4 linked regions of the Lepisosteus oculatus genome follow. The protein of the gene in region 1 interacts with the protein of each later gene in a pairwise test. Links are inferred from orthologs where the notes say so. Each region holds a gene or a part of one and is shown on either strand. Other genes may lie near its edges.

Region 1 (7,652 bases):
TTGTGATGAAGAGCCTTGAGGTTTTGCGGTGTTTTGCCCACCAGTGGCCAGCCTGTCCTATCAGGTTGGGCCATCTGGACAGAGTCGTCCTATCAGAGCTCAGCAGGATGGCGATGCGCAACAGGCAGGAAGTCGGAACAGCAAACAGCAGTGCCCCCTGCTAGTTCGGTCTTCGCTCACTTCCTGTTTATCCTGGTTCATCCAGTCAATTCCCTGGAAAGTGGATAGAAATAATGTCCTGGATCTGTCCTCTGCAGCTGAGCATTTCAGCGTCTCCCTGCTTCTTAATCCTTTCCCACATCTAGGTTAAACTCCAAGTAGCTAGAAGCGGGAAGGCTAAGGAATAACATATATATATATAATCTCATAGTTTCAAAATCCTGTTATAGAACTGATTCAACAATTAGAAAAAAATGTTGGGGTGGGTCCAGTTGTATGTCTGACATGGGCAGGGACTGGAACATTGTTGATATGTACCTGACTCTTACAGTTTGTTTTGAATAATTTTAATGTAACACAACCACAGCTTTTAGTATTTCTGTGGCAATAGAAGAACTAGTAGGGATATTGATATCATGTTCAGAATCCTCTTTACGTATGTCAGTAGGCCACTGTCTCTTTTTGCCTATTAACTGAAGGTGTTACCCTAAAAGGAACATTAATTCCTAGTTCAGAAATACCGAACAACTGAAAAGCATCGCTGACTCGGGTGTTGTAGACGAAATCTGAAATCAAGTCAATATACTTGCTCTCAGTGCCAAAAGAAAGGGGAAGGAAGGACAACAAGTGTTGAATCATTTACTTTGAGTCAGGTACTGTAGTTCTGTTTCCAGGGTGATACAGACAAGCTGTGTCAGCAACAACCGTTGTGGACAGATTTGTTTGGTCAATTCTGCAATAGGCCTTTCGGCTCTCCATTACCATGCAATCTCAGCTGTGTCTTCTAACGGAATTGCTCAATCTGTTTTTAATTCACCCATATTTTTATTCATTTTCTGTTTACATATTATGCATCAGGTCAATTATCGGGATAATTGTAAGGGGGGAAAGCTTGTGGAATATAATTATACAATGATACCTGTTACAGACATATACACAGATTTGTCCTGCTGGAATTGTACACGTTGTTTAAAGTTTGGCTCCAGCATGGAACCGACATGGTAATTGAGATTGTTCGGAAATCATAACTAAAGGCATCTGTAGGTAATAGTAAACTCTTTCATTCCTGTACTGACAGGGTTTATAACTGGTCAATCACAAAAATGGTCAAGAAAATCTCCTTTGTGTTGAAAACGGACACTTCCGTTACTCACTTACTCAAAATTACTCAAAAGTCTTGTTGGCAAGTAACACACAATGCACACGGAAACAACTATAAAAGGGTAGGAACTGCTCGATTAAAAATCTTTTAAAATTGTTAACAAGTCACAGGTGTTCAATGAGTGAGAGCATATACAATAGGTTAAGGCATTTTGAAACAATAGCATTTGCTCTCTAAGTTGAAGTAATTAATGAAGAATATTGTTTTCTCACTCATTTATTATTACTGCCATTTTTATACAGACTCTGTAGAGACTGACAAACACCAGGTCTCCATTTGGGCTAAAACTTGGACACAGAATTGGCATTATTCACATGTACTGAGCCTAAGAAGAAATGTATTACATAACAATGCAAAGAATGAGGGAAATGACAGTGGTCTTTTTTGTGGCAGGTGCTTTGACAGTTTCATTCATTATTCTGATCAACATTTGTCATCTGCAGGGTTGATCACAACTGATCACCAGGGGGTTTGCTGTGGAAGTCACAGGCTAGTAGTGTGTGTGGCCAAGTCTGGAAGCTGTAGGTCTGCCATGCATTCTTTACACCAGGTTGTAGATATTGTTTTGTGGGTTTCTGACCTATTCTCCTCATGGAGCTTGCTCAAGCATGTGTCTGTTTGCTGGCTTCTGAGTCCTAGATACTGCATATCATACCAGCTGGGAAGTCTGGGAAGTCTGGCATTATTGTAACATTCTCGTCACACAACAAAGCTATTGATTACACAAGCAGCATGAGGCCGTGCACGATCCTGCTGGAATGTTATCACTTCAAGATGAGCTTGCAGGAAGAGCAGCAAGAGAAGTCTGGGCAGCTTAGAAATGGCTGAAACCCAGAAGGCAAGTGGCAGTGCTCAGCTTCAGCCCATATGCCAACTTACCAACGGCACAAAGGCATTGTTCTTTTCAATACTGGTTCCTTTCTGTCTTCTTATTTCTTAACTTACTTCATGTCCTTCATGTCCAATAGGTTAGGTTGTCTTATCAGCTCCCTCAACCCCGAGGTTATTATCTAACAGTCATCTGAGTCCGTCACAAGTGATCAGCTAATCACGATGACACCAAAAACATATAAAATATACCCCAAATCTGTACCTCATTTTTATTTAAAAAAACACATGCATCGAGTAATATTTTTCTTTTATAGTTTAGTATTTATAGTCAATCATGTTCATCATATTTTTCGATAATAAAATAAATAGAAACATATACAAGCAAATAAGTTTGAGCAAATACTGTACGCAGACAAACTGTTGTTGATATTACCACCACGCAGACCAGTTCCATAAGCAGAGATTTGTAACTTGCTTTTGTGAGGGACTGATAAAGGAACTCCTGTAAATAATAACTACACTAAATCTCTAGCTCACTGTGACAGATGGAGGAAATGAAATCTCCCTAGCAGAAGAAAAAGGGCAAGTGACCAAAAGTGACACTGACATCCTCCTCTCATTCACTCAGATGTAAATCATAGTAGCACCAGTCTGTGCAAAATGAATTTGAGTGATTGGCACCAGGTCATGTTTTTATGTGCTAGTTAGCCAAATAAAAAAAACCAGCAGTGTAACTCCAAGTGATGTCTTTCCAGCATCCAAATCTTTTAGGGAGCCCTGGTCCCTGCTCAGTATATCTCCTTCACAGAGCTCTGGGAGTTACAGTATCTCAGAGCCCAGTGTCTCTGCAGGCCCCTGGCCTCCTTAGAATCAGGCAGCAGAGCAGCCCTGGCAGCAGATAAGAGGAACGCTTTTAACAGCTGCAGCAGGGTGGGGTTCAGAATAACAAGTGCAGAGGGGGTTAACCCATTGTTCGTGTGCATTCTCCTGAGGGGAGAGTTCAAGCACACGCAGAGCCTCGTCTGCCTGCTTTAGCTAAATTTAGTTGACCATCTGGCCACCCTGTTTGTCCCATGGGTGAGTCTACCCTCAGAGAGCTGACGTTGAAATGCCTAGTTGGATGGATGGGGCCAGGAGAAACAGTGTTTTGTTGTGCAAAACGCTCTCTACAGTATTTTAAATACGGCCTCAACATCCTTTCTGTTAACTAGGGTATTAAACCTTAAAAAATGTTAAATTCACTTGTGCAACCTCCCCTTTACTATCAGAGCTATTACTAAATACTCATGAGGGAATTCTCGCAACGTAAAGGCAGTGAAAACATAGAAAAATATTGTTCCCAATATGTCTTTTCTTTTAAAACTATTAGACAACATAAAAGTTGTGGCCTAATAGTTGTTGAACTCTTCCTGAATCATGACTGGGGTGCAGCTGAGAAGTGATTTTTCTTTTTTTTTTAAATACGCCTTATTGCCTCCATAAGGGGAGAAGCATTTTAAACAATAATTGAATTGAACACCTGATGAAAATACGGGATTCAGATGCAGCCTCGTGTAAAACTGCAATTGCACACAGATTTTTAAGCCACCTCAAACAGCAAAAACACTAGTCCTTGTATTGCAGAATATCACCTTATTAGCTCTGAATATTGGCTCTGAAAGAGCTTAATTTCAGCACCCTCCTTCTGTGCTGTTCCCCATTTGAAAGCCCCCACGGTTATTTTGCAATTCTTTACTTTTAATGGGTTTAATTGCTGCCTTCGTCTACTCAGAACTCAGCGAGTCCCTTCTATGAACTTAACTACTTCTGCTCAGGAAGCACCCAGCAGGTGAACTTCGTTACATCTGAGAATGTACAGATTTTGTTAGAAAGGTTTACTTTTCATTTTCAAGAAGAATAAGGCAATGGAACAAGTGATTTTAAGATTACGAGCATCGCCTTTCCATTTCAATACAAGCCAACCATCCAGTGATAATCGGCTTCTTCAGTGAGAATCTCTGTATCTAGGTATCAGGGGAAAGGAGAATGAAAAATATTTTGTCCCACACTCTCTGACACACACAGACATATATGTGGTTTTTTTTTGTACATTGTGAAATAGACAATTAAAGAGTTTGCAGGTCTTGAGAGACAGAAAAATGTTATAATAAGTAGATGCTTATTATGTAGATGAAATAAGTGCTCGCGAGGAGGGGGTATCACCGTTTAGTGATGCGGTGCCTTTCACGACTTTACCCTCTTGGTAAAATGTCATTTTACGCCCCTTTAAGCCAAACCGTCTAGCTAAAAACAAGCTCTTTCCGCAGTGAAATAAAAAACCCTCACGACTCCGCAGACTCTCAACTGGGCAGCCCCGGGCTGTTTGCATTACGCTTTTTCACATCCCCAAATGAGCTGCCCCTGTCTCTTTAAAACACGTTTCCTTCGATTGTGAAGGAGTCGTGAGCAGGAAAGAGGAAACGAAACCAGAAACCAAGGGGCAGAGCTATGTAAAAATACCTACGGTACAGAGAGCTGCCGTACAAAAGCCGTCCCCGCGACTAACCGCAGATTAAGGGAGACGGTAAGGGATGACAGAGGGAATAAGAAATATTTTTAAGCAGCCATTGATATTCACTGCTATCTTCACTGTTAATGCTGAAGAATACTTGAGCCGTAAGCACAAGGACAACAGTATAGCAAATGGGATGTTATGATCTCCAGGAAATAATAATAATAATAATTACTAATATCGAAAATTGTAAATTATGTTTAAGGATCCCGTCTGCGGTCTTACATGTATGTTTTAATATATAAATTGTAGGAAGGAACTGTACAGCTCAAGTAAACGCGATTTCCACGGTCTTTGCCTTTGGTGCTGTTTTTTTTTTTTTAGAAAATAGAATAAGATGAACAGGTGCAGTTCTTGCCGAAAAATCATATTGTCATAAGAAATATGCGAGAGGAGTCGGAAGTGGGGATATAAAGCATACGTGCCGCCGGATTAAGGAGCAGGAGCCTCTATAAAAGCCGAAGTTCCCGACGCAGTAGTAAAAGGTGTTTGATGCCATCGTCATTGCCCGCAAGGAACATCTTGGAATGTCATCTGCTATTGAAAGGAAAAGCTTGGAGGCGTCAGAGTAAGTGCAATGGTGATGCCTTTGAAACTAATGACTTGCAGTGTTTCTTTTCACGCATGTGCACTTTTTGTTTTTAAGGAAAGAATTTACCCCAAAACAACATCCAAACTATCTGTCACTTTCATACCTGTGACCACCAGGGTTTTAGAGCTTTTTTTTCCCATTAATCCGAAATAATTTAAGACTGAACTTTATATATCTAACAAAGACAGAGGCCATGTTGAGTAAAATCTCTTGTGATCTTAAACATGCAACTCTAGATCTAAAAAGTAATTAGAATTTAGAAGCAATGTCACTTAAGATTAGTTTCACTTGTGGGATTGAGTCAGAGGCAAATAAAGCTTGATGTTTAAGTCTTCTTGGCAGTAATGAAATGACTGTGGCGATAGTTTCTTTTACAGTAGGCCTTGCATTCTGTGAACTGTTTGCTTTCGTAAGCCGAGTTTCAGAACCAGGCGCCAGATGTAATTAAACTATCACATTTTCAACAGGTATATGAATTGTAAATAGCCTTTTAAGAAAGGGGCAATGCAAAACAGCATAATGACGTAGATTAAAATGCACTGACAATTAGTTTGTGTAAAGAAATTACAAGAGCAGTGTTTCGATAATGTATACTAGGTGGTTTAAAAAAAAGACTATTGAGGTTTTCTGTTCTATTTGAGATGTAGATTTTCACTAGCTCTCTTATCACTACTGCGATCCCAGTGTCAGAAGACATTAATGTAATAATCACTACTAGCACTAGCTCATTCTTTAGTTAAGTACTCAGAATAGGATAATGCATATTAAGTGACAATACTCATTCAATCCTTACTAACAAAAGATGTGTAGAACCCATGCCCTTTGAGTTGATAGACAGCAATCTGTAAGTGTGCAAATTCAGGTAGTAAAGTTTGGGTTACTCCACATTTTTATGCATTAATTGTATTTTGTTTTGACTATATGATAACTTTTGATAAGTTTCTTTTAATAGATTCTAGGTAACACACCAATACAGAGATGTGCTGTACTGGGGAAATCTAAACCATGGAAGGCCAAATATATACCTCAGATAAAAAAGAATGTTACTTTTGCACTTTTATTGTATATCGTATACACAATACATTAGGTATATATTAAGTAAATAACTGTAGCTATTCTTTCTATTATTTAAACAAAGAAATGTCATAACCTAATAAATATACAGTACATCCTTGCTGCTTTTAAACAGATGATGCAGGAGCAAAATATATTTTAAGAAAAATGTGTGTGAAATGAGGGTCAATTGTATTCCCCACTCACCTCTTATTTTTACACAAAACCTTGTTTTTCCTTCTCCCTGTGCCCTGTGACAGATATATGGGCATACACTGCGCATATAGTGTTTTTTTATTTCGTGGGAAGCTGCTCCCTCTGTTGGGGAATGATGGTAATGCATAATCTACAGCAAATGTCACCAGAAAGGTCACCAGTGAGAGAGATGTGAGGAAATTATACTATTATAGAGTGCCTAGTAAAAATCAGTGTGAATATGATGAACACATGCTAGCTCCACAAAGGCAGGCAAGGTATTGAAGTCAGGATCATGGCTGCATCATCTGATTGGATCTGTAAAGTTCACAACAATGCCTGTATGCCATCATCTAACCTCAAATCGGCCTGCTTGCCAGACCTCTGGGTGACGACATTTTTTGACATGAAGAAAACTTCACAACATTTCAACATTCTGATACTCATAATGTTTAAAAATGCTTAGTTTCTAAAAGTCACTTCTTCAAGCGCAGTCAAAATTGTTTCAGTGTATATGTAGACTGTATATGTAGTTGCTAGCAGCCAAATCCTAGCAGCCAGCCTAGCGTACCTGATTTTCAGATTTCTGTTTCCAGGATTATTTTACAAAGAGTACTGATTACATGTACAAATTAAAGATTATTTTTTGAAACTATAGCACAATTACAATACCCCTTACACCCGTACTCATTTCAATAGTAGTGTGTTTTAGCGGCTGTGCAGATTCTTTGTCTGAAGATCCACCTTTTTGTCATTATATTTGCACATTTCTTTTGGCTTCTCAGCTAGCTTCCTCTGTTTGACAGCTAATTGAAAAAAAGTGTCCAAACTGGGAAGCAAACACAACCAAAACCTCCAGACGGGGGCACAAGAAACCACCTAGATGAATTGTTACCCAGGTGGTTTCTAAAAGGTTTTTCACCGCAGTGCAGTTGCTGTGTCTGTTTGCCCCCTGTTCTTGGCGATGTGTGTGGCAATCGGTTGCTGGCTCTCTTGCTCACGAACGGACCCTGCTCCCTCCTCAGAGAGCCAGTGGATGAGGTCCTGCAGATGCCCCCCTCCCTCCTGACGTGCGGGGGGTGCCAGCAGAGCATCGGAGACCGCTTCTT
Region 2 (7,767 bases), on another chromosome or scaffold:
CCCCCCACACACACAATTTGTTTCAGCCATTTTGACTATGATGCTCAATGTTATGACTGAGAAAATCAACTTTAAAACTTTAGACTAGTAAATGTTTGCGCAATTAGGACAGTACAAGTAAAAACTTGTGAATAAAAGGTTCTTCACACATGCTTTTAAAATTGTTGCTTAACAAATGACTGCCCATGTTATTTAATGGTATACTTGTGATGGGCACTGAAATAAAATAAAGCCAGTTTTCACTTTCACAAATACAGTAGATTAGGGGTCTAAAACCTTAGCTCCCATCTAGTAGGATTCACCATTAAATATCAAATTTGTGACACAAGGCCTTCCATAAAATGAGTCTGATATCTCAGTACTATAGCCTAGGTGGGTCTATTCTATAATTCCAATTGCGGAAAGGCCAACTGGAAATTTAGGCTCTAGCAAATACAGTAACTTCAAATATAACTGCAGGGCAATCTGGGACTTCTCATTTTCAGAAGTCCTTGCCGTTTATGTAAGGGCAGTATAAACATTTTTGAGACCTGATCAAATCATCAGCAAAATACATTAATACAGTTCGAAAATTGCAAGAAGTACATTTACTTAACTTTTTATCAAAATAGAGAACAGAAATATTTATGAATATCATTTCAAGATTCAGAAAGATTGAGACAAAAATATATAAAAGAAAATACGATATAATTACAACATATCATTCTTTATATTAACCACTACTAGTATAATTAAATAGGACTGTGCTGTGATAAACTATGGTATATCATGGAGTGTGTTTTTAGATAACTTTATTAATTACCAGTGTACAGTACTGTATGATCTCTACAGTATACCATATAAAAAAATTATTATAGAATAAAACACTCCTATTGTCACTCCTGAAGTTGTGTTAATAACTACTTAAGGTAAAAATATATACAGTATATATAACCTCATCAAAAACAGTATAGCAATGACGACGCCAACAGTAATTTCCAAAGCAACCGTACTGTATGTAAAGGGTCCATCACTACAGCTACAGAGCCTCTCCCGACTTCCTGTAAATAAAACTTCGTATTTAAATCAAACTGTTTACTAACCTTTAATATTTGATCCGTTTAAAATAAACACTTAACAAAACGTCGAACAGAAGAAAGGACATTCACTGGTCTCAACCTTGTAGACTTCAGAAAAATGATTTCTCTCACTCAAAACACCTCGAAAAACGAAACTAACTCTGACGTTCTTATTAACTGGATGTCATCTTGCCAGCTGACCAGAAACAAACAATTGGCATGCCTCTCAGCCAATCACAAATAAGAGTTTGCTCACTAACACCCAATTCCTCTTCGAAAGCCAACCAACGTAAAGAGGAAATTGTCTTTCCCACTTTTTTTTAAAGGCTCAGGGAGTAGGAGCTGTTCTAAACATTAGTCAACCCTCCCTCGTAATTTCCCCAGCCTGTAGGAGAAATAGAAAGTTTACTTTCCCATGAGATTTTGTGAGACGCAGAAACCTAGACAAATGTGCATACTTACGGTGTAATTTAGCAAATTATTTTTCTTTGACAATTTACAAAAATTAAAATCCTAATTGTAAATGATATTGTTGTATTAAAAATATATCAAATAATTTGGAATTTGGAATTTGGTAAAAGATTTCATTGTACCATAAGATTAAGCATAAACATAAGTACATAAAAAGGTTACAAACCAGAGGAGGCCATTCTGCTCACCTTCATCCAGGTGGATGCTGCACATTGGTGGTGGTGGAGGGGAGTCCCCATTACCTGTAAAGCGCTTTGAGTGGAGTATCCAGAAAAGCGCTATATAAGTGTTAGCTATTATTATTATTATTATTATTATTATTATTATTATTATTATTATTATTAATTGTATTGTCTTGCTATGTGATCTGCAGATCTCGTCCAGACGTTTTTCAAAGAATCACAGAAGATTTGCTTCAATTATATAACTGGCTAGCCTGCTCCAGAAAATTTTAACACATATTGAACAGACACCAGTTTTCACTGTCTTAAATGTACATTCCCTCAATTTCCACTTGTACCTTCAGGATTTTGTTTCACTATAGGTCTTAGATTAAGCCCCCAAGTGGACTCCTGGGTTCAGGATTACAAAAACCTGTAAAGAGTTATCTTATAGTGTACAAAACACATCTAGTTCAGAACTAAAGAAATTTCAGACTGAAAAAGGATCCAGTATGTTTCTTTGCTGACATTTAGTTACTTTTGCCTGTTAAATATCTTTACTTATTTGCAAATGATGCATCATACAGTACTTTTTCATTCCAGGAAATTACAGTTTTGCTGAAATAGTTTAAGAAACAGTGTTTCAAGAACAGTTTTATTCTAGAAAACACAGCTTGACATTCGAAAATCATCTTAACTGAAGTAGTTAATTAAATCAAAATATGTATAAATTCAGAAGGTGATACAAGACAATCACAAAACTCTGCAAGTAATGAGAATCTATCACAAAGGACTAAAAGATGTACTTTAATCTTACTTTTAAAACAGCGAAAATCTCTTCTGTAGCCGTTTGCAGATCAATCTACAGTTAGGGATTTTAAAAGTGAATGTATTGAAATTGAAAAGATAATGCAAAACATATACATCGAAATGTTTACTCCCACTAGTTGTGCCCATTGATTCTGAGACTGAGCTTACATTTTTTAAATGTTTTTCAATAATTTGTCAAGTCACAGTTTTGGGGGAAAGACGACAATATAGATATGTGTTAGTGTTCTTAAATATCATGAGAAGTATTGTGCTAGGAAAGGCATCTGACATCTTCAAATAATCGGCGACGCACGAGAAAATTAAAGGGGAGCATCCGTGAAAGAAAACAGGACATTCCTTTATCAAACACTGATATCTTAGAACAAACTGCTGAGTTACAGTGTTACAACCATTTCTCTCGGATCTTAGGAGTGGCTTGATCAAATAATTGGATTATTGCAGGAAGCAAACCTGCTTTCATCTGTAACCTTTACCTGTTACCAACATCCTTGCTTGAAAAAATGAGGCCGTTCATCTTTCTTCCTTTAGCTGCGGTACGCCGACCACACCCTTAACCCTATGCTACAGCTGTATTAGCTAGAAACGCCTTCTGGAGAAGGATAGCTTTATTCCGCTAGCTGTTTCAGGGAGGAAGGCCGACTGGCATAAGAGCTGTATCACGAGGTTTCCGAGAAACCGAAAGGATCTGGGAGATCACTGCATTGAAAGGAAACAGAGAAACGAAACTTTAATTGGAGCCAAACGGTTTTTTTTTATCTCTTTCTGATTGTTAGTCTCAACTTTACCAAGCGGCTGCTTTTGCAGCTGCAGCTTATTTTCTCCCTCCAGGATTTTTAAGACTTTAAGCTTTTAAGACTTTTAAGCTCTGTGGTGAAGCAGAACGAGGAGCGTTTTGTAAAAATTAAAATATGTAATTGTTTTTTTTCCCCCATTGTTATAATGTTTAATTGTTTAATTCACAGCATTCCTTTACGGATATTAAATCGATTTTTTGTTATCGTAATACGTGTTGACTTTTAAATGTTTGATAGTAGTAACCAGCCGTAATGCTGCTGTAAAGATCTTATGAAAGCAGACCTGAGTTTATGAAAACAATAATTATCTGTTCTATATGTGGATAGAAGTAGGCTACTTGTGTAGTTGTGGCTCAACAATAATGGATTTTGATTGTTGTACAGAACAAGGAAAAGCAATGGCACGACCCGGAATTCTATTCAAACCCTTTATTTTATATGATATATAACGAATTTAATTGAAATAAATGAACAATTGTTCAAGTAGGTAACTGCGTCAGCATGTGTAGGTCGGAAAGGAACCAGTACTTTTTCTTCTTTTTTCAGCATGAACTAACCTTTACTTGTTCCCAAATGAACAATACAACGTTTTAAAATGTTTCTTTGTGTCTTAACTTAGTTTTGTAGTTGGTTTTATGTCACAGTAATCATACTGATATAACTAGAGAAGTGTAAACAGGATGAGGATGCATTTCTGTTTTTCCAGTCTGGTGACCCCAAAAGATAGTTTCAGAAAGCTGATGCAATCTTTTGGATTAATATTAAAACTATAACTGTCTCCTAATGAAAACTAATACGGTATCTGCATTACAGCCTGATATGCAAACAATGCAAATTTGCCTGATTCAGACACTATATTCTATATTCAGATATCCCAGTTCTTAAAAGTGATTTAATCCAAGAATGGGCTGTTTAGTATTGTATTTAGGGCTGGTGCTGTGCCAAGCCAGTTTTTCCCTCTTTTTGCCATGGATGCAGTTAGCTGGCTTCTCCGAGGACCAACAGCACCTCTATTCCATCTCTCTCCTCTCCCCTCTTCTACTATTGTAATTGGAATCACAATGTTACGTCACGCCCCCGGAGAACTCACCGCCCTTAATCATCTCCTTCACATTGCAGTTTCCAAGTAACTAATCAGACACCTTCTTCCACCTTTCTACTTGACAACCTGACACACCACTCCTTGCTTAACATTGGGTTTTACCTAGCTAGAGTTGTATTGTCCCCTGCTTCACAACATTTCTAGGTTTTTGGCTCTGATCCTTGACTTTGTCATCTGGATCTTGACTTAGTTATTGTGGATTTACTGGTTTTTGATCCTGGCCTGACTTCCTGACCTATGTTTTTTTTACTCTTGCTGGTACTTTTGAGTTCAGAGGATTCTGCTTAGGGCCCTTCTTCTGCACTGTAATGGTATACTGAGTCTTAACATGGACCCTGCAGAAGGTGAGGTATGGTGCTTTCTCAGCATTCTCATGCATTTAATCAGCTGCAAGTTTCTATCCAGCAGATAATGGTGTTACGCATTCCACTCGCGTCTCTGTTCCTTCCCGCATTCCCACGCGTACACCCTGTAACAAACGCTCACGCCGCAAGTAACACACCAATCACCGTTCTCTCCCGTCCCTATTTTAGTTCTCCTTTTTCCTCATTTCCCCGCTCACTATTGCAGATTCTCCTTGAGGTCCCTAGTGCGCGTTTTCCTCTAGCTTTTCTCCGGTTCCTGATCTCCTTGCTTGCTTCTCGTGTTCGATTTCGCCTAGTGTTTTGGATTGTTGCTTTCTCGTTGTACTTCTGTTTTCCGACCTACTCACCTGATTCCTGGATTTGACTTCGCCTTGTGTTTTGGATCATTGCTGCCTCTTTGACTTCGCGTTCTGACCTCCTCTCCTGCTTCCTCGTTTTAGTTTTTTTGCCTAGCGATTCAGCTTAGTGTTTTTCTCAGTCTCCGGAGTTCTGCACAGGATCCATTGACCAGATCAGCCCCATTCTGACAGAATACTGAGCCTATTCATGGATCCAGCGGACCATAACAGCACTGCTGCTTTTTTTTCCAACAGCAGTCCCAGGCTCTAGGACAACTGACTGCTGCAGTTCAATGCCTAGTGGACCACACCACCTGTCCCCCACCTCCTCCGGTGGCTCCCGTACCTGCTCCTCCCCTGGCTGCTGCTGCTTGCCTCTTGCCCCCTCCCATCCCGGAGAAATTTGAGGGGGACCCAGCTAAACTCCAGAGTTTAACCCAGTGCTGGATGGCCTTCCACCTTCGCCCGGATTATTTTCCCTCTGACAGAGAGATTGCCTTCATGGTCTCTCACCTCTCCGGTCGAGCCCTGGACTAGGCTACTTCCCTCCTCACTCTGAATCTTCCCGTGACTGCTGATGCCAACCAGTTTTCTGCTGCCATGCAGTCCATTTTTGGTCATCTCCACTCCCACCATATAGCCATCTCCTGTCTCGTCTCTCTCACCCAGGGTTCCCGGACTTTTCAAGATTATGCTATGGAATTCCACCTTTTGGCCTCCCAAATGCCCTGGAATGAAGAGGCTCTTATCCACCAGTTCTGCCAGGGCTTGTCTTCCGCTTTTCAGGACCACCTCGCATATCTTCCACTGGACTTTCCCTCCTTGGAGCATCTTATCTACCATCTGGCCGAAATTAATATCAGGCTCCAAGAACAACGCTCCCGGCTTCAAACCCCTTCTGCCCCCTCCCGCCCAACCTCCTTCTCTAGTCTGTCTTCTGAGGAGTGACACCACGACTCTCCGAGGGATGTTGCCCTTATTGCGTGGCAGCCGGCCATCTCCGAGCTTCATGCCCTGTCTGCCCTCCCTGTACTTCCCTGCCCTCTGACAAGGTCGGTATCCTTCCCTCTTCTGGCCTTTTTTTGCCCACACTGGTTTCCAGGGATGGATTCAAAGAATCTCTTCTGGCTTTTGTTGATTCAGGCACAGAGGAAAACTTCCTAGACTCCGGACTCCCACCACTTTTAATATTCCTTGCATCCCCGTTTCGCCCCCTATCTGCCTCCTCACCTTTGATGGATCCCCTCTCACTCTTGTTGAATGGGAAAAAATTCCCCTTACACTACGCATTGGCGCCCTCCACACCGAGAGCATTCCAATTCCTCCTCCTCCACTCTCCTTCCCATCCTCTGGTTCTTGGATACCCTTGGTTGAAGATGCACAACCCCATCTTTTCCCAGTCCAACAGCGAACTACTGGCCTGGGGACCCAAATGTCATCCTCGTTGCCTGCAGTTGCCTCTCAGACTTTCCTCTGTCCACATGACCTAGGATGAATCCATCGGGATTTCTTCTGCATATTGCGACTGTCACGCCCTCTGCAGCCAGAGGGCGCTCCTTCTCTGTCCTGTCCCTAGTTTCCAGTCTGCTGTCTTCCTGTCCCTCTCTTTCCCTTGGGCTATATATTTCCGGGTCTTGCACTCTGTCCTCGCTCAGCATTGACGTTCGGATGTCCTGAGACCCGCCTAGCACCAGGGCGCCCCACGTCCGCTCCCTGAGGGCATAGGTTTCTATACGGCATTCCTGAACTCTTTGCACTTATGAGCTTGGGCCTTTTTCCCGTCTCGCCGCTACGCATATGAGTCTTTTTCCGCTCTCCTGCTCCCCACGGTTAGTCCCTTTGGACGTCCGTGACAGCGACCTGCACCTTGCCTTCAGCAAGCAAAAAGCACTCTCCTTGCCACCATACCGTCTCTCTGATTGCGCCATTGACTTACTACCTGGAACCCTGCCTCCAAGAGGAAGAACCTACCCACTTTCTCTGAAAGACTCTGATGCCCTGGAGTTTTACATCCATCATTCGCCCTTTTACTTCTCCGGCCTGTGCAGGTTTTTTTTTCGTGGAGAAGAAGGATGGATCCCTGCAGCCCTGTATCGATTACAGGAGCCTGAATGAGATTACTATCAAGAACCGGTATCTCCTTCCCCTCATTAACTCTGCATTGGAATCTCTTCAGGGAGCCTCTGTCTTCACCAAACTTGACCTTCGGGGCGCCTACAACCTCATCCGCATCCGTGATGGTGATGAGTGGAAGACAGCCTTCATTACTACACTTAGTCATTATGAATATCCGGTCATGCCCTTTGGCCTGGCTAATGCTCCTATAGTATTCCAGGGCTTTATGAATGACATTTTTAGGGACATCGTTCAGAAGTACGTCCTGGTTTACACATTCCTGACAGATCTCCCGAAAAGCCACGGTAAAACGACGATCATGGTGGTCATCGACTGTTTCTCCTAAGCTGTACATGTTGTTCCTCTTCCAGCCCTCCCATCAGCAAGAGAGATGGCAGACCTTTTTGTCCAGCATGTTTTCCACTTCCATGGCATTCCGAAGGATATTGTTTCAGACAGGGGTCCGCAGTTCATATCTAGAGTTTTGGAAGGCTTTCTTCCAGGTTTTAGGGGCATCCTCCTCCCTCACTTC
Region 3 (7,073 bases), on another chromosome or scaffold:
GCCCCACACTCACGCGGAGGTGATGGCCCGGTAGCGCTCCTGCCCGGCAGTGTCCCAGATCTGGGCCTTTATCGTCTTGCCGTCCACCTGGATGCTGCGGGTGGCGAACTCCACGCCGATGGTGCTCTTGCTCTCCAGGTTGAACTCGTTGCGGGTGAAGCGGGACAGCAGGTTGCTCTTGCCCACGCCGGAGTCGCCGATCAGCACCACTGCCGCCAACACAGACACGGTCAGAGGCCACCCTGGTGCACCCTGCTTCACGCAGCTCCCAGGAGCTCCCTGTCTACTGCTCGATTGGCTCGATTAGTTAAACCGATCAGCCTCCTGGAGATCAATTAAATGCTTAAAGAGTACCAGATTTGCACATGGAATGAAAGAACAAAGGTTCCCTGTGCCGGGCTGGGGGGGCGGATGTGTTACTGGATCTGTAGGACAGCACAGACAGTAGAACATTTGTGCTGGTGAGCAAATGTGTGTCTGTGAGCAAGTGGCTGTGTGTTTTAACCCCTTGAGAACAAGAATCCAAGCAAATCCCGGACCCCTAGGTTCAAAGAAAGCTTCTACCCCACAACCCTAAGACTCCACCTCTTCAAACCTCCCCCACGTACACCCCTCTGTGTTTGCGCTGAACTCAAAATACTGCCACTACTGAATTTTGCACACAGCTGCTATCTAAATGGTGGTTAAAAATGATAGCTGCTCCCCCTGTTCCTGTCTCCAGGGACTGCGATGTCACTTGTGGTGTCTCCTTCTGTGTCAACGTTATGTCATCTTTTACGTCAGGCAAGTAAGCATCTCATTGTACATGGGTACATAAACTTGAAGGTGAAATAAAGCTTAGGAGCTCCTGAGTTTAGTTTAGTCCTGTTCAGTTTGGAAATTACTGACACACGTCACACAGTGTGCTCTCAGTAACAAGTATACTGGAACCAAATGCGCTGAAGTCTGACAACGTTTTAAATGATGCTGTGCCACACGGGGCTGGCGTGTGACCTCCTGTTTGATTTCCACGGGTCAGTGTTTGCCAGTTTTAACATGTATATGAAATGAACCCCCTCCATTTCGACAGCAGGGTTTGCTCGAAGACCAGCAACGCCAGCTGTATGGTCAGGTGTCACTCTGAAACTGTGCCTCAGCGGTACTTCAGGCACATTGTGGTATTTTTCAAAATTAAAATCTGCAGGATCGCCAACCTGAAAACCCGGCTGCAGAGGAGCTGGTCTAAGCTTGAACTGCAGTTTTGCAGTAAGAATAAGAGCTCATTGTTCATTGCTCTTGACAGGAAACGGTCCCTGTTCTATCACGCTGCAGGAAGCTGATAACCTGGTCAATGGGAAATCTGAAACGACAGTATTGGGCCTCTTTCCTGTTTCCAGGGAGTTTATCAAAGAAGGAGGCGAGGGGGGGGTTTAGAGATCCCTGCAATTTCGAAAGCGCGTTTGAACCGATATGCCTGACTATAGCAACAGAATTGTGATATTTCAGACCTGCGCCTTTAACCAAACAATCGACAAACAAAAGCGGGACAGTGTGATATTCTATTAATGAATATGTGCAGAGTAGATCAAATACAAATGCTGCATTTCGAAGCATGCTAACGTCTGTATTCTTGCATTAATGTAACTGATGTCATAATTCAAGGCCACGAAAGAGGATGCCAGATATTGGAAAGTCCAAGGTTGGTATCCTGGTATCCTAGCAGGATAATACAGTACAGGCATCTGCAATGACAGCACTGCTGCCAGGTTCCTGCGATATCATCAGCCATGTCAAATAGAAAAATCCACCTTTTGTCACTTAAGTCTCTAGCAAATCTTTTATTTTCCTACTCACTTCACCGCTGTTTTTTTGCCATCACAATTCGGTTTCCTTAGAATATATTTCATTGCGGTGCAAAAAAAAAGGATTTTAAAAAACGAATGCGCCATCGTACAACATGTGGCACAGCCGATATCTGGGAAATCACCGCTACATTTAATGGCTGTTCCTCCGCAAACATAGACAATATCGCTAAACACCCAGGAACGGCTCCGTCTCAAAGCTCTTTTCAGGCCTTGATGAAAATATTACAAAATATTTACGCTTTGGTGCTCAACGCTACTGTACGTGATAAGCTGTCTCTTAAGCGAACGGGTGATTCAATACAGACACAGCTCTTTGGTGGGGCTTGCAATTACGTTATATATATATATGCGTTGCTTAAACAAATGCCGCAAACAGAGGACTTTATACACTCTTTTTTAGGGCCCAAGACCGTTCTTGGTAGGCGTCGCTAATCAATAAAAGCAGTGGCTCGCCGTTGTTTTTTTACAGGACACCCTGCAAACAATACATAGCGCACATTAGCCGCACACGGTGTGAGAGGCGGGGGGTTAGCACAAGGGGAGGGGGTGTCGGAATCGCACAGAAGAAATCAGATTTCTACCTTTGAACAAGAAATCGTACTCGTCGTCTCTGTTCCCCATGTTAAGAGACACGCGGGGCTGCTCCGACCCCCGTCGCGGCGCAGGCGTGTGGTGTGGCGGTGTGGGCTCCGCAGCGATGCCGGGTGCGAGTGGAGCCGAACTCGGGCAGGAGACAATGCGCTGGCTGGCTGGCTGGCTGTCACAGAGCCGACCGCAGGAAGAAGGGATTTGCCTGACTCTGCAGAAGGGGAGGAGTTCCTCCTCTCCCATCCCATCCCGTACTGTACACGATGGTGCCCCCTCACTTTCCGTAGGAGATACGGGAGACATAAAATCGAGCGGGCTGTGGGGCCGTGGGATATACTGTCTATCGGGGTTACCACACCGGATTTTCCCGGACGTGTCTTCATATTTGCTCCTCAAATCTCCGTCCCTTAGGAATTATGGGAGGACGGGGTGGCCTTTTTTCGTGCCTATACAAATACATAGATATAATAACCGTATATATGTAAAATAATCAAATAACCATAAATATAATAGATACAGATGTTATCGGCGCCACCGACCCCACCTCTCCTCCTAATTCCCCGTCGGGCGGAGTGTCCTCTTTTTTATTTTAGAAATAATGGTAACCCCTAACCTTAGTGTATATCTGTATAGGGAGTGTCGGGAGAGTCTCTGACGCTAGCAACGCCTGGAGCGACGAGTGCAAAATGTGTGTTTTAGATTATAGAATAACACGTGCAGTTTGCACCAAGGAAAAATACTGTCTTCATTTTAGCTCAGTAAATTGTATTTCCATAGTTTCCCTAACCGTCAGTACCGAACCTTTCTTCCTGCGTCAAAGCTACTTCGTGTTTGAAAAGCACGCTTTCACGGCTGGAAAGTTTTAAGGCAAATTGAAGCTCTTGTGCTTTATTGTTGGCACGAAAGGGGCAAAGAGGTGGTGCTTCGTGCTTGTTTGTAGGCTGGGTTCTGTAACACACGTGCTGATATTTGTCTACGGTCCTAATGTAGCAGTTCAACCGCAAGAGAGTTATTGAGATAAAATTGCATTTCATGGCTGTGAGACGTACCACTCCACGACAGATAGAGCCATGTATGTTGCACACAACCTTTACACCATCTCTAGTTCAATAAACCTTTATTGCACGATCAATAAATCTTTATTCCACTTGCTAAAAATGTATCGAAAGTAGGCCATAATACACCTTTTTAATTATTTAGCATAGGTAGGGGTTACCGAAACATGAAATGAAAAAGAAAAACTGATGGTTTCAGTTCTAGAAGATGAGAAATTGAGACATGGGGTCAGGCGCGGTTGTTTTGAGGCAAGCGAAGAGGCAAAGTTGTCGTTGTTATGGTAACAGTCCTTTAGGTTTTGTTTTGACGAAACCACTGCAGATTATTATTATTTTTTCCATTCTTTCGCCACAACGAGGTTTTATTTATTTTAGAGGCGGCTGGTTTGCGATTTCATTTCTGTTTTAAAAAAAAATAGATATTTAACGGAAGAAAAAAATTGAACAATAAAAACACAAAGGCTTTCCCGGCATGCTCCGCGTTGCTACATAGACTGGCTTCGCCCGCCGCCATTTCAGTAGTGGAGGAGATCGAGTGTGGTGTGTGCTAATGGTTAAGCAGGGGGCAACTGTAAAATAAAACTACGAATCCGGGTTTTATTAGCTCAACATCGAAAGGCATCGTATTTAAAAAACAGCTTGTATTTGCCCTTTTCTTCTCCGGGTGCAGTTTTCCCATTTGTTTTCCGAAAAGCAACGTGTAAAACTTGACTGCGCCAAAATGTCGACTGAAACGCCAACTGAAAAGCCAGCCCAGGCGTAAGTACTTTCTTGTTGTTTTTTTGTTTTTGTTGTTCTTCTTAGCCGGTGGTGATTTTTATGTATCTCGGACTAGCCCTGTGTAATGTGAGGAGAGGGATTGATCTTCAGTCGTGATTGAAAGTGATGCGCGTTGCGTTATAATCTTAAGCCACGTTAAAGCCCTGTCACGCAGTTAGCCGGAAGGTTGCTGTTCGCGTTGTGCCGATCGGTGGAAATGTATCCGGCGAGTTTTTTTCCCTCCTAAAAGCCGCGAAGACAGCGTTATGAAACTGCAGTGAAAATAGCTTTTCTCCCCCTGTAAATTTTAGCCTTTTTTTCGCGAGAAGCAGAGAAAACGAGGCCGGCGGGGGGGGGGTATCTGTATTGGTGGCTGCAGAGTGCAGCTAGGCCGCAACGTGGGCGATTATCTGCTTTCAAACTCCGCCGCTGTTTTTTTTAACTGGGCCCAAGACGAATGGGTGTCGTAAATATTTAACAAGCCGGCGTTTTTTTCCAGTGTGATTCAGAAGTAGCCCGCATCTGCGTTTGCTTTGGACTCCACTTGAATTGAGCGCCATTTTGGGGGGTCAGGGGCTTTATGTTCACCCCGAGTAATATCGCCCTTGTCGGCCCATTGCCCTTAGCAACAGACACGAGGAGGCAAAGGGAGGGGGGTGTCTGCCCTAGAGACATTGTCCCCCACCAATCGTCCCTTCGTTGTCGGTTCTCCACGCGAGTTTGGTTTGCTGCCACCCGAGCGACTGTTTCCAACCCCAGTTCTCCCTCTCGACTCCCCGCAGCGAGATCAACGGGAAGCCCACCCACGAGAGCCGGAAGGAGAGGCCGCAGAAGCGGGGCGGCGGCAGTCGCTTTGAGCCCTATGGGAGTTCCAAGCGATACCGGGTGTTCGTCAGCAACATCCCCTTTGATGTGAAGTGGCAGGCGCTGAAGGACCTCATGAAGGAGAAAGGTAATTTTTATTGAACCGGTAAGGAGCACGGGGGTGGATAGTCTTTTTTTTACACCCACCCCCCCCAAAGAAAGCCGTGCTTGAAGAGCTATCGCTGGACGGCATGCTACGGGTGTTGTGGTCACATCTCCTGCACTCCCCCTTCTCCCCCACTCAAAAGAAAGTTTAACATAAGGCTCCACACCGCGGCCGTCTTTGTGAAGGTGGTACCACAGCCACGTAACTTCCTGGAGTCCGGCGTTTCTCGTTTCGGTTTTGTAATGGACTGTTGTTGGGCACCCATTGTTTTAGGAGGGTGATGTTTGAAAACGTATCCTTCCCCCACCTGGAACATTAAGGATCATTCCTGTGTGTGTTGGGCGTCTTGTTTTACTAGACGTGCTTTGTTATGCGCATGTAGTAGGATCTTTGTGGACATTCCTGGATCGACTGATTTGCACAGGGAGTTTTGCAAGTGGTGATTTTGCATATGCTGGTTATTCTTCGAAACCTAAGCATGCAGCATCAAACTTTTAAATCAAATGTAAAATCTGATGCCTCAAAAGAACTTACTTTCTGGTGCTTTGCAAAAGCTGCAAAAGGTTAGCGGCCAAGAGCCTGATGCACACATTGTTCAAAGCTTTGGACTGCTCTAAAAGCTTTACCAGCAGTGATTTGTTGTGCTCCCAACCTGATTTGGTTAAGATCTTGAACTTGGTTCAAGGAAAACGCTGGTTTGTTGTTGAAGACTGCTTTGATATTGCTATGAGTTGGAACCATCTTGTTTCAACAAGTTGAAGGCAGTTGAGAATTCCATTTAAGAGACGTCCTTGGTTTTCTCGCATGGAAATGGAGTGTTTCGGAGATGAGATGTTAGCTTTCAACTTTCTGTAGTTGGAAAGCAAATTGTGAGGCCTAAATTCTATATTGAAATTCACTGTTTACCTTAAGTTTTATAGCAGGTATTCCATAATGGGAAATCACACTTAAGTGTGCGTCGACTATCGGCAGGGGTCAGCATCACAGTCTGCTCTCTTGAAGGTGCAGGCTTTTTGTCGATCGACTGGGTTATTGGAAGTCAGGTTGGCGATTTTGATGTTTTACAAATTTTCAAAAGCTACGCTGAATCTTTAGTGAGCCTTTAGATCACTCTTATGATTCAGTTGTTTAAGTTGGTGGTTTTCTATTAATTGGCTTTCATCAAGAAAATGACCAAGTGAATGTGGTTAGGAAATACATTTGGCCTTCTATAAAAGGCTTTTTGGAACCCGGGCAACCTCTGATGTGGATCTCTTGAAAATGTCATTTGTATTTAAGGTTGTCAAAGTTTTGTGATTGCCCAAATTCTTTAAGCAACCTTTGTAAAATCAGCTTGGGTTCTCTTGGATTAGATCCTTTATCCAAGCCATAATAGAGGAGGAGGTCCACTGTGGTTTTTTTTTCTTGTCCATTTTCTGTGATGCAGATGTTGAAATCTCATTGCCATGCTGTTGGGACAAATCTGTGCAGCACAAAGATCCTACCAAAGGCGTAAAACTGTAATCATTCTGTGTAGTATTAAATTGCGTTTTCTTTTTTTAGGTTTACCACAGTGTGTGGTTACTGGCTGATGTCGCAGAGCAGAGATGTTCTTCAGATGTCACGTTGTACATGTCCAGACGCATGTTAGGGATTTGTTGGGGGTACAGGTCTACAAAGTAAAGCTGCTTCTTAAACTTATCCTTGTTTCAGCCTTGGATGGTTCAGGTCTGGCTAACGCTTGTTTGTTAATTTGATGGGCTCTTTGTGGTTGGGCCGCTGTAGGGAACTGTAGGAATGTTGTCCAAGCATAAAGATGGATTGGACCGTGCTGGGGTGTTCAAGTTGTGTGTTCATCGACCAACTTCGTCTCTTTGA
Region 4 (7,403 bases), on another chromosome or scaffold:
CTTTCCAAAGCGCTGAGATGGAGTTCCGGTAGTTTCTTTTGGATTAGGGGCAGTGTGATGTATGCAATAAAAAAAATCAATTAATTTAAATACCCGCAAAATACTAAAACTGAATCAATTGTCAATGTTTATTTGTGAACATGTATATGCATACATATATTTTAAATCCCCCTGAAATGGTGTATTAATTCAACATTTTATAATACAAATGTCTTTTTTTGACAGTGGGTGTTGCATTGTGGCTGAACTGATAAGGCTTCTCCGTACATGCTTAAAAGGTAATCTTTCATTAACAGAACACTCCCGCTATCGAGCTCTTGCAGAGCGTCGGAAACGCTTATCTTCACAAGCCAGCATGCTGGAGTGAGCTCTCGCAGGAATAAGGCGAAACAAAGCGAGCCCACAGGCGCCGATTCCTGGCAGAATCCGGACTCAGAACCGTAAATAACTCCCAACTTTCATTTCTGATCACTGCGTAACACCACATGACTCAGTGCTATAGAAAAAGCCGGGATAAAATAGCCACCTTCTGTTGGAAGGAAACAAAACAAAAAAGGCATTGAAACACGGTCTAGTCAAACTCCACATTTCAACACAGTGTAAACACGGGCTTAATGGGTCCATGATTACCCCTGCTCAGACATCATTTTTTAGGTGTGTAAAAAAAGAGATTTACTGTGAGAACGGACAGTTGTACAAATCTAGCCTGTAGGTCCTTTTTTACACAACAAAGGTCAGAGCCGTTTATACCTCTTAACGTCTGACTTTACCCAGGACGGTTGATTGAATAGAATTATTCATAGGCTGCATGAGAATAAGATTTTGTTTGTTCTTGATTTTGGAAAAATGTTGATGAAACGGACCAAATTTGTTTTGTTCAACACTTGAAAGCTCTGCAAGAGGACTTTTTTCATGAATTTGTCTGGCAGATGCTTTTTTCCCAGGAATGACTCACCAATTTACACAGCTGGATATTTTTTCCGAAGCATTTTTTGTGAAGTACTTTGCTGAAGAGAACAGCCGTGTCTCAGCGGGTTTTTTAAACAGGTCTGGAGCCCCTTCAACTAGGCCCATGTAGGAAATAACAGTGTAAAATTAAACACCCACAAGGCTCTCTTGAAACCACGCCACAGTTAAAAAAAAACCTAGTTCATTTAAAAGAGGCACAAAACAAAATCTTTGTTCCGTATTTGAAATAATGCCTTTGCAGTAAACAACATGTAATATCATGCTCAGTTTATGTTTTTCAGCTTCAGCGGGGCAGCAGAAGTTGTGGGAAATCCTAAAAACAGAAGAAAGACGTTTAAAATGTGATGCTAAGGCTTAGTGAATCACTGCACAGGCTATCCGGAGCGTGTGTGCCTCCCCAGTCGAGGAATATTCTTGGGATGAGGTGTGAGGGAAGCGATCGGACTGCAGGGAGTGGGAGTGTGTGTGTGTGTTGTGGGAGGTGGGGGGGTTAGAGCACCCCGATGTGAGATCAGGCCTTTTCAGAAACCGATGACCCGTTGGATAAGACTAACTGGCCTGACTTTCATTTTCCATCATCTTGAGCGTAACTCCGATGGATCAATTAAATGCACTGGAGGCATTGTGTGGTGGGCTGCCGAGTATTCAGGCCCGAGAGGAGAGGTGACTACCAGTGCAGGTGCAGCCTCTTGGAAGTGTAGCAGGCGCAGTGAATAGCTGGAATTCAGATCAGGCCCAGTGTGGCCGTTTTTCAGGGACTCAAAATAATCCCCCCAAATCGGATTATGTAAATCACTACTCAACACAGAGGGGGATTCTATGGAAGGCTGCGTCTTTGAAAAAACACTTGAAGGGTGAAAAAAAGTAACAACTGCCTAAACTAGACATTGTTTTTTTTTCCTCCTGCAGGGCCGGGTACAGAGCACAGCGGCAGACAGCGCAGCGAAGGGCGATAATATCCTGGGGTCCTAGTGCTAATATTATGAAGAGGTGGCTTACATGCCAGCTTGTGACCCCCAACATCATATAACTTTCCCCGTTCTCTAATTTATGTGAGCCCCTCAAAAGGCTAAACAGGATTATCCCACAGAGAACAATACCTGCATTGTTCACACGTCGATCCAGGTTTGGTATTTTTACCTTTTGTGGCTGATCACTCGGTCACGTTGAAATTATTTTGGACACTTCCCCCTGTTAACTTGGCGACAACTTAGGTGGGAAGAGACACCGGCAATATGTCCAAGAAATAGAAAGAGCAATGTTTGAGTCCGAAAAAAAAAAAAAGTGACATTCAAATCCAGAGTTAATCACTCGACGCTCAATGGAAACCTCTTTGGAGAAAGGTTTAGATGACCTGTTATTATGGTCATCTGGATTAGTAACAATTTAAAAACTTTGAAAGAATGAATGAATCCATACAGAAGGGTAGATGTTATAAAAGAGGACATTCATGCTATAGAAATCGGTGACAGAAGAGCAAGTCTAATCCAACTACTAACAGAAATACATTTTTAGAGCAATTTGGACTGAGTGAAGGAACTATTACTAGATAGGTTCCCCTGAACAAATGCTGAACTGACTACTTAATCATTTAACTGGAGAGACTGTTAATAGCATTTTACAGTTTGATTTTAAGGTAAGAAGATATGGGATGAATACAAGCCGGTTATTAAGGGCTGTACTATATTTTCTTTATATTATTTTTTGCAATTTGTCAAAAGTTAACAATTTCATTAGTGCTGTGCTTTGTACCAAAGAGAATTTAACCCATTCTATCCTATATATCATGGTCATTATTTCCTTGGATTTGTTATTGAACAGAAAATAAATAACAGAATTTGTTATTTCAGAACTGACTATCAACAGCTGGCGAGTTATGCCTCTTTCTGTCTCTACGGTTTGGGGAGACAGCTACATCTGCATCTTGAAATTGCAGGAAGTTCTTATGTCCCCCAATTGAACATGATTGTTTCAGCAAATCAGACAAGATTTTTGTTTTTAAAAAGGATTACATCAAACAGAAAACAATTCAGAAGAGGTTTACATTATTCAAAGAAAGCCTTTCCTTTGCTACAATCCATATAAATGGTTTTAGGAAAAAATGTAAGTGCATGAACAGATCAACTGCTTACTAGCTGAAATTAGAAAAATAATATAATATGGTAAATCAGCGTGCTGATTATGGTAATTCATGTTTCCATCTTACTTGTGAGGCTAAGCAAAACTATCATTTTACCATTTATTTCTATATGTTCTTTTTCATTTAGTATCTTGAAATGAATATCATGTGTAGCATATTCAATTCATCAGTGCAATTAGATATCTATCTTTTGTGAAAAGTGTCCATGATTTTCAATTACAGTGCTCCTGAGCCACAATTTACATTAAATCTACAGAAATTATATTCTAAATGATTTGCCTACTACATTCCCTTATGAGTTCAGATGATTAGTTTATAAAATAGTTGGGACTCTTGTTTGGCTGTTAACCAGAATAGAGTCAGGAAAGTCACTGCATTTATCAAATTTGAGAGACCTACCAGGACTGATGGTGAAGAAGTAAGTACTGCTCCAAGATGAGTCTTGTATTCTTGAAAAAGATTAAATGAAGGAAAAACTTTATAGCAAAAAAAAGCACAATTAATATCAGACTCACAAATTCTGCAATACTGATTGAAAATTCATGTTATTTTTCACGTACTGCATCTCTGATTCATATTAAGGAAACTAAAAGTACTATATGTATATAAAATTATATAATAAAATGTTGTACTGTATAAGTTTAGTAAATTAATTGTATGCAATATAATAGTTTTATAGCACACATTTTATAATGAATAATATTGCATTACCAGTGCTTATGGAAATATCATTTTCTGTGATTTCATCAAGGTCTTAGTGAGCTCTTTCAGTTTGCAGCACTCTCTGGCAAAAGCAGATTTCCAAATCAGATCATTTGGGGATTTCATCACTTCCTTGTAGATTATATCACAGATCAGTTAAAAATATTGAGGCATCACCGCCTTGATGTTTTCTTTGGGGATGTCCAAAAGCTCCAAATGAAAGCACGAATCTGGCTTTTATTTCCTACGTTTGTTTTTTTCTCAGATTTCGAGTATTCCATTCCCATTACTGACAGCTGCTATTGTTCGCTCCATGTTCCCGCTTTAAGTGGTATTTTAGGGATAATCGTGAGGAATCGTGCCGGTGAGTAAGTCCGGAACTGGAAAATAGCAGAGAAAGAAGCAGCAGGTGAAACAGTTACAGTGGAGAGCTGTAAAGTAATCACAGATATGTCAAAGGGATGTAAAGGCCACCTCGAAGGAAATGCAAGGTCTTGATTAATAATTATTATGCTGCACAGGACAACCAGGTGATGGCATATACTGAACAATGGGACGGACTTGCTATAAATTATCAGGGACAAACCCCAACGCCCCCCCACAGACACACACACCCGCCTACAGTTAGCGTCTCAGAGCGCTTGAGTGCGATCAGAGAGCAAGAGGATCTGTGTCTAATAGGAGCTGCAGAGCTGCTGAGTGCACACTGCCTAATGACTCAAGGAATTACCCTGTGCAAAGAAAGAAGTTCTGCTCATCCTCCAGCACTTGCAGGTGAGAGATTGGTGTTTTTCTGGCATCTAGTAAAGTATGTGTATTGTGTACTGAGGTGTCTGGTTTTGCTGGGGTTTTTTTTTTGTATTTGATAGGCAAAATAAATACATTCTAAAAGGGAATTATGTGATTTAGATATATGCAGTTGTGTGCTCATTGAATTTTTAAACATGTTTAAGTTGATCTAATTAACGTCACATTAGTAAATGTGGCTAAAATCAATTTTATAAATGACATGGTGGTTATCACAGGGTTGTTCAGGTTCGACACTATTGCAGAAGATACGTATAGGTGGTAAAGACATTGCCCTGTTAACTGCAATCATTATTAAATTACAACTTTATGTTTGAGCAAAGAGATATTATTCTTCATTAACTATTAGTAGTTAGATAGCTTTTTTTAATAATGGTCTTAATGTTCAAAGCTTTGGCAAGACAAGTTCATGTAGTGCATACCATTAAAGCATTATTATATCTAGATAATTCTAATAAATATTGTAGTAATTCTAGTAAATATTTAATCAGTTTAATTTTAGTATATGAATCTTATTTTGTCATATGAATTTTCCAGTCAAAATAGGATTCTTTGTAGATTTCCCTAAACATTGTAGGCAAAAAAAGATTGTCTCTTCTACTGCAATACTGGAATGCACACTTCTTATATGAAGTTATTTTTTAATAGGTAAGATTTTCCTTCCAATGTTCTTTTCGTTGTTGCTTAATTTCTTTGTATTGACTCTCCAGATCTATATCTGTTGCATTCACATTTCACTTCTAGAGACCTGCAGAATGCATGCAGACCTGAGATGTTAAACTGAGGACATAGTGACTCAGTCATTTAAAAGCCATTGCACAGTAAATAAGAATAGGAATATAAAACCTAGCACCCTGGTCAGCAGAGACCTTTGGTGGGCAGTGGCTCAAAAGGGGCACTTTCCAGGGCAGTATTTGTTCCATTAGAGTATCCTGGACCCGAATCAGTTTCTGTGTTTTTTCATTTTACAGGAAGTAAAATTGTGACTTCAGAGGCATTGTAATATTCACAACGTTGGCAAAAAAAATGGTTGTCCATAATTGCTGATTATGTTTTATTAACAGACAAGATATTACACCCTCTCTACTGAGCATATACTTTATTTTCCTGATATAACACATCTTAACAAGAGGACAAAGCAAATAAAAATATGACCATCTAATTACATGCAACACCAAATGCAATCTCTTTCTATCTTAAGAGGAAGAACTCACATGAGCGCACATCAAATCAAAGATTTTTTTTCCCCAAAAAGTGTCTATTGCGGGATAAATATTCAGGAAGCCGCTAGAAATTATATCCAAAAATGATCATGAAATTATTACTCATATACCCTGTATATTGTTTGTAAATAGGGTACTGGCAGCTTTGATATTCATCAAAACTTAAGTCGTACAACATTTACCGATGTAATTATTCTTGTGAGGCAAGACTCCTCTGTTATTGAGGCGTACGTAGAATGTACCCTAAGGAACTGGCCTTTTTGATAACCATTTACCTGTTCGTCTGCCGCTAGTTGGGACCCAGTTATGAAGCGATGTACTCCCTTTAGCTGCCTCCCAAAATTCTTTTTTTTCTTCGTCTTTTTTCTGAAGGCATGCTCTCCTGTTTCTGTGACTGAACCACATATATACTGTACAACAAGGAATATGCATGTTAGCTGTTTATATCAAATACCAAAAGATTGGCTTGTCTACTAAGTTAACGAAATGTTCTTAAGGAATTCTCAGTCTAGCTAAATAGCCATGCAGACAATAACGTGGCGAGTTCGTCGTTTTGCAAACTTAGAATAGGTGAATATACAGTAGTATTTCCTAAACACAAAGTGCTCAATACGACACCCTTGGTGTGTTACTTTTGTACAGTCCTTCTGAAAAATCTGTGTATCTTCTCACCGTTCAAAAATGTTTAACATGAACCACACAGGTGCAGTAGCCTACGTTGCTTTTCGCTGCTTTTTTACAACGAACAGGAGGCAGGCGCTTGTGCTCGGATGAGATCAATTGGGTGCAACATTTCTTTTCCCCTATCGGGAGATCCGTACTAAATACAGAAGCAGAATCGTCAAGAGGCGAAAAAAAAAATTAAATTGGTTGGACTTTTTTTCCTACAAGCAAAAAAAATAGCACTTGGGCCAATGAGGGCAAAGGGGAATCTGTCCTGCCTAAGTTGTTCTCTCAATTTAATTAGTGAAGCAATTTCTCACTTCTCCAGCTGATACCCTGTGCGGTGGTAATGCATAATGGCTGCTGCACAGAGGTTTTCTCATAAGAAAGGTTATAAACAAGAAGAGAACATTGGGCACATCTAGCCACTTGGGTAGTTAGTAAGCGCATTGATCTCATCTAGCCATTTCTTGAAAATAGCTAGGACTTCACAATATAGCTGGGCAGCTTGTTCCAGACTCTCACAAACCCTTCTAAACTGTCCTGTATTTGGGAAGCTTTTGGATTGTTATTGTTAGTATCGTGATGATGACAAAGCTTTTTTGAAAGTCTCCTGAAATCCTGTGTCTGTGTAGTTCATCTCTTACTTGGAAAGTAAAAACATTGGAGAAAATAACGTTTCGGAATAAATATTTTGCTGCTTCTCCTTCCTGCTTGTCAGCGTGGAATTAAATTATGCTTGTTCCTTTGCAACTCACTTCCTGATATATGTTACTCAGTGCTGGTTTCGATTGCATGTCCTAGTTTCATTACTAAATGAACGTGTTTTTTCCGTGAACTCGTTTTATATGAGGAATAATATTTTTTGTGAGTGGTATGCTGGTTAGCACGATGCCTCC

The links. The genes of interacting proteins can lie anywhere in the genome.
Region 2: the proteins of lmo2 (region 1) and signal transducer and activator of transcription 1-alpha/beta interact in a two-hybrid assay, tested with the Homo sapiens proteins (2 studies listed by BioGRID and IntAct). The two-hybrid records come from large-scale screens. The link is inferred for Lepisosteus oculatus from reciprocal best matches to the Homo sapiens genes LMO2 and STAT1.
Region 3: the proteins of lmo2 (region 1) and hnrnpm interact in binary tests that used the Homo sapiens proteins (3 or more experiments, as listed by UniProt). The link is inferred for Lepisosteus oculatus from reciprocal best matches to the Homo sapiens genes LMO2 and HNRNPM.
Region 4: the proteins of lmo2 (region 1) and tal2 interact in a two-hybrid assay, tested with the Homo sapiens proteins (2 studies listed by BioGRID and IntAct). The link is inferred for Lepisosteus oculatus from reciprocal best matches to the Homo sapiens genes LMO2 and TAL2.

Annotation. Positions count from the first base shown.
Region 1 is NC_090716.1:11,136,400-11,144,051, forward strand, and holds the start of lmo2 (rhombotin-2), read left to right. Parts: upstream 1-4,570; 5' UTR 4,571-4,715; exon of another isoform or gene 4,716-5,027; 5' UTR 5,028-5,230; coding exon 5,231-5,271; intron 5,272-7,568; coding exon 7,569-7,652. UniProt on the Homo sapiens protein: Acts with TAL1/SCL to regulate red blood cell development. Also acts with LDB1 to maintain erythroid precursors in an immature state.
Region 2 is NC_090707.1:26,783,692-26,791,458, forward strand, and holds the start of signal transducer and activator of transcription 1-alpha/beta, read right to left. Parts: upstream 3,085-7,767; 5' UTR 3,036-3,084; coding exon 2,995-3,035; intron 1,260-2,994; exon of another isoform or gene 1,083-1,259; intron 1-1,082. UniProt on the Homo sapiens protein: Signal transducer and transcription activator that mediates cellular responses to interferons (IFNs), cytokine KITLG/SCF and other cytokines and other growth factors.
Region 3 is NC_090724.1:6,497,900-6,504,972, reverse strand, and holds the start of hnrnpm (heterogeneous nuclear ribonucleoprotein M), read left to right. Parts: upstream 1-3,989; 5' UTR 3,990-4,208; coding exon 4,209-4,246; intron 4,247-5,028; coding exon 5,029-5,198; intron 5,199-7,073. Other genes in the region: ras-related protein Rab-11B-like, read right to left, coding at 14-209, 2,426-2,465. UniProt on the Homo sapiens protein: Pre-mRNA binding protein in vivo, binds avidly to poly(G) and poly(U) RNA homopolymers in vitro. Involved in splicing.
Region 4 is NC_090698.1:64,085,891-64,093,293, reverse strand, and holds the start of tal2 (T-cell acute lymphocytic leukemia protein 2), read left to right. Parts: upstream 1-4,319; 5' UTR 4,320-4,585; intron 4,586-7,403.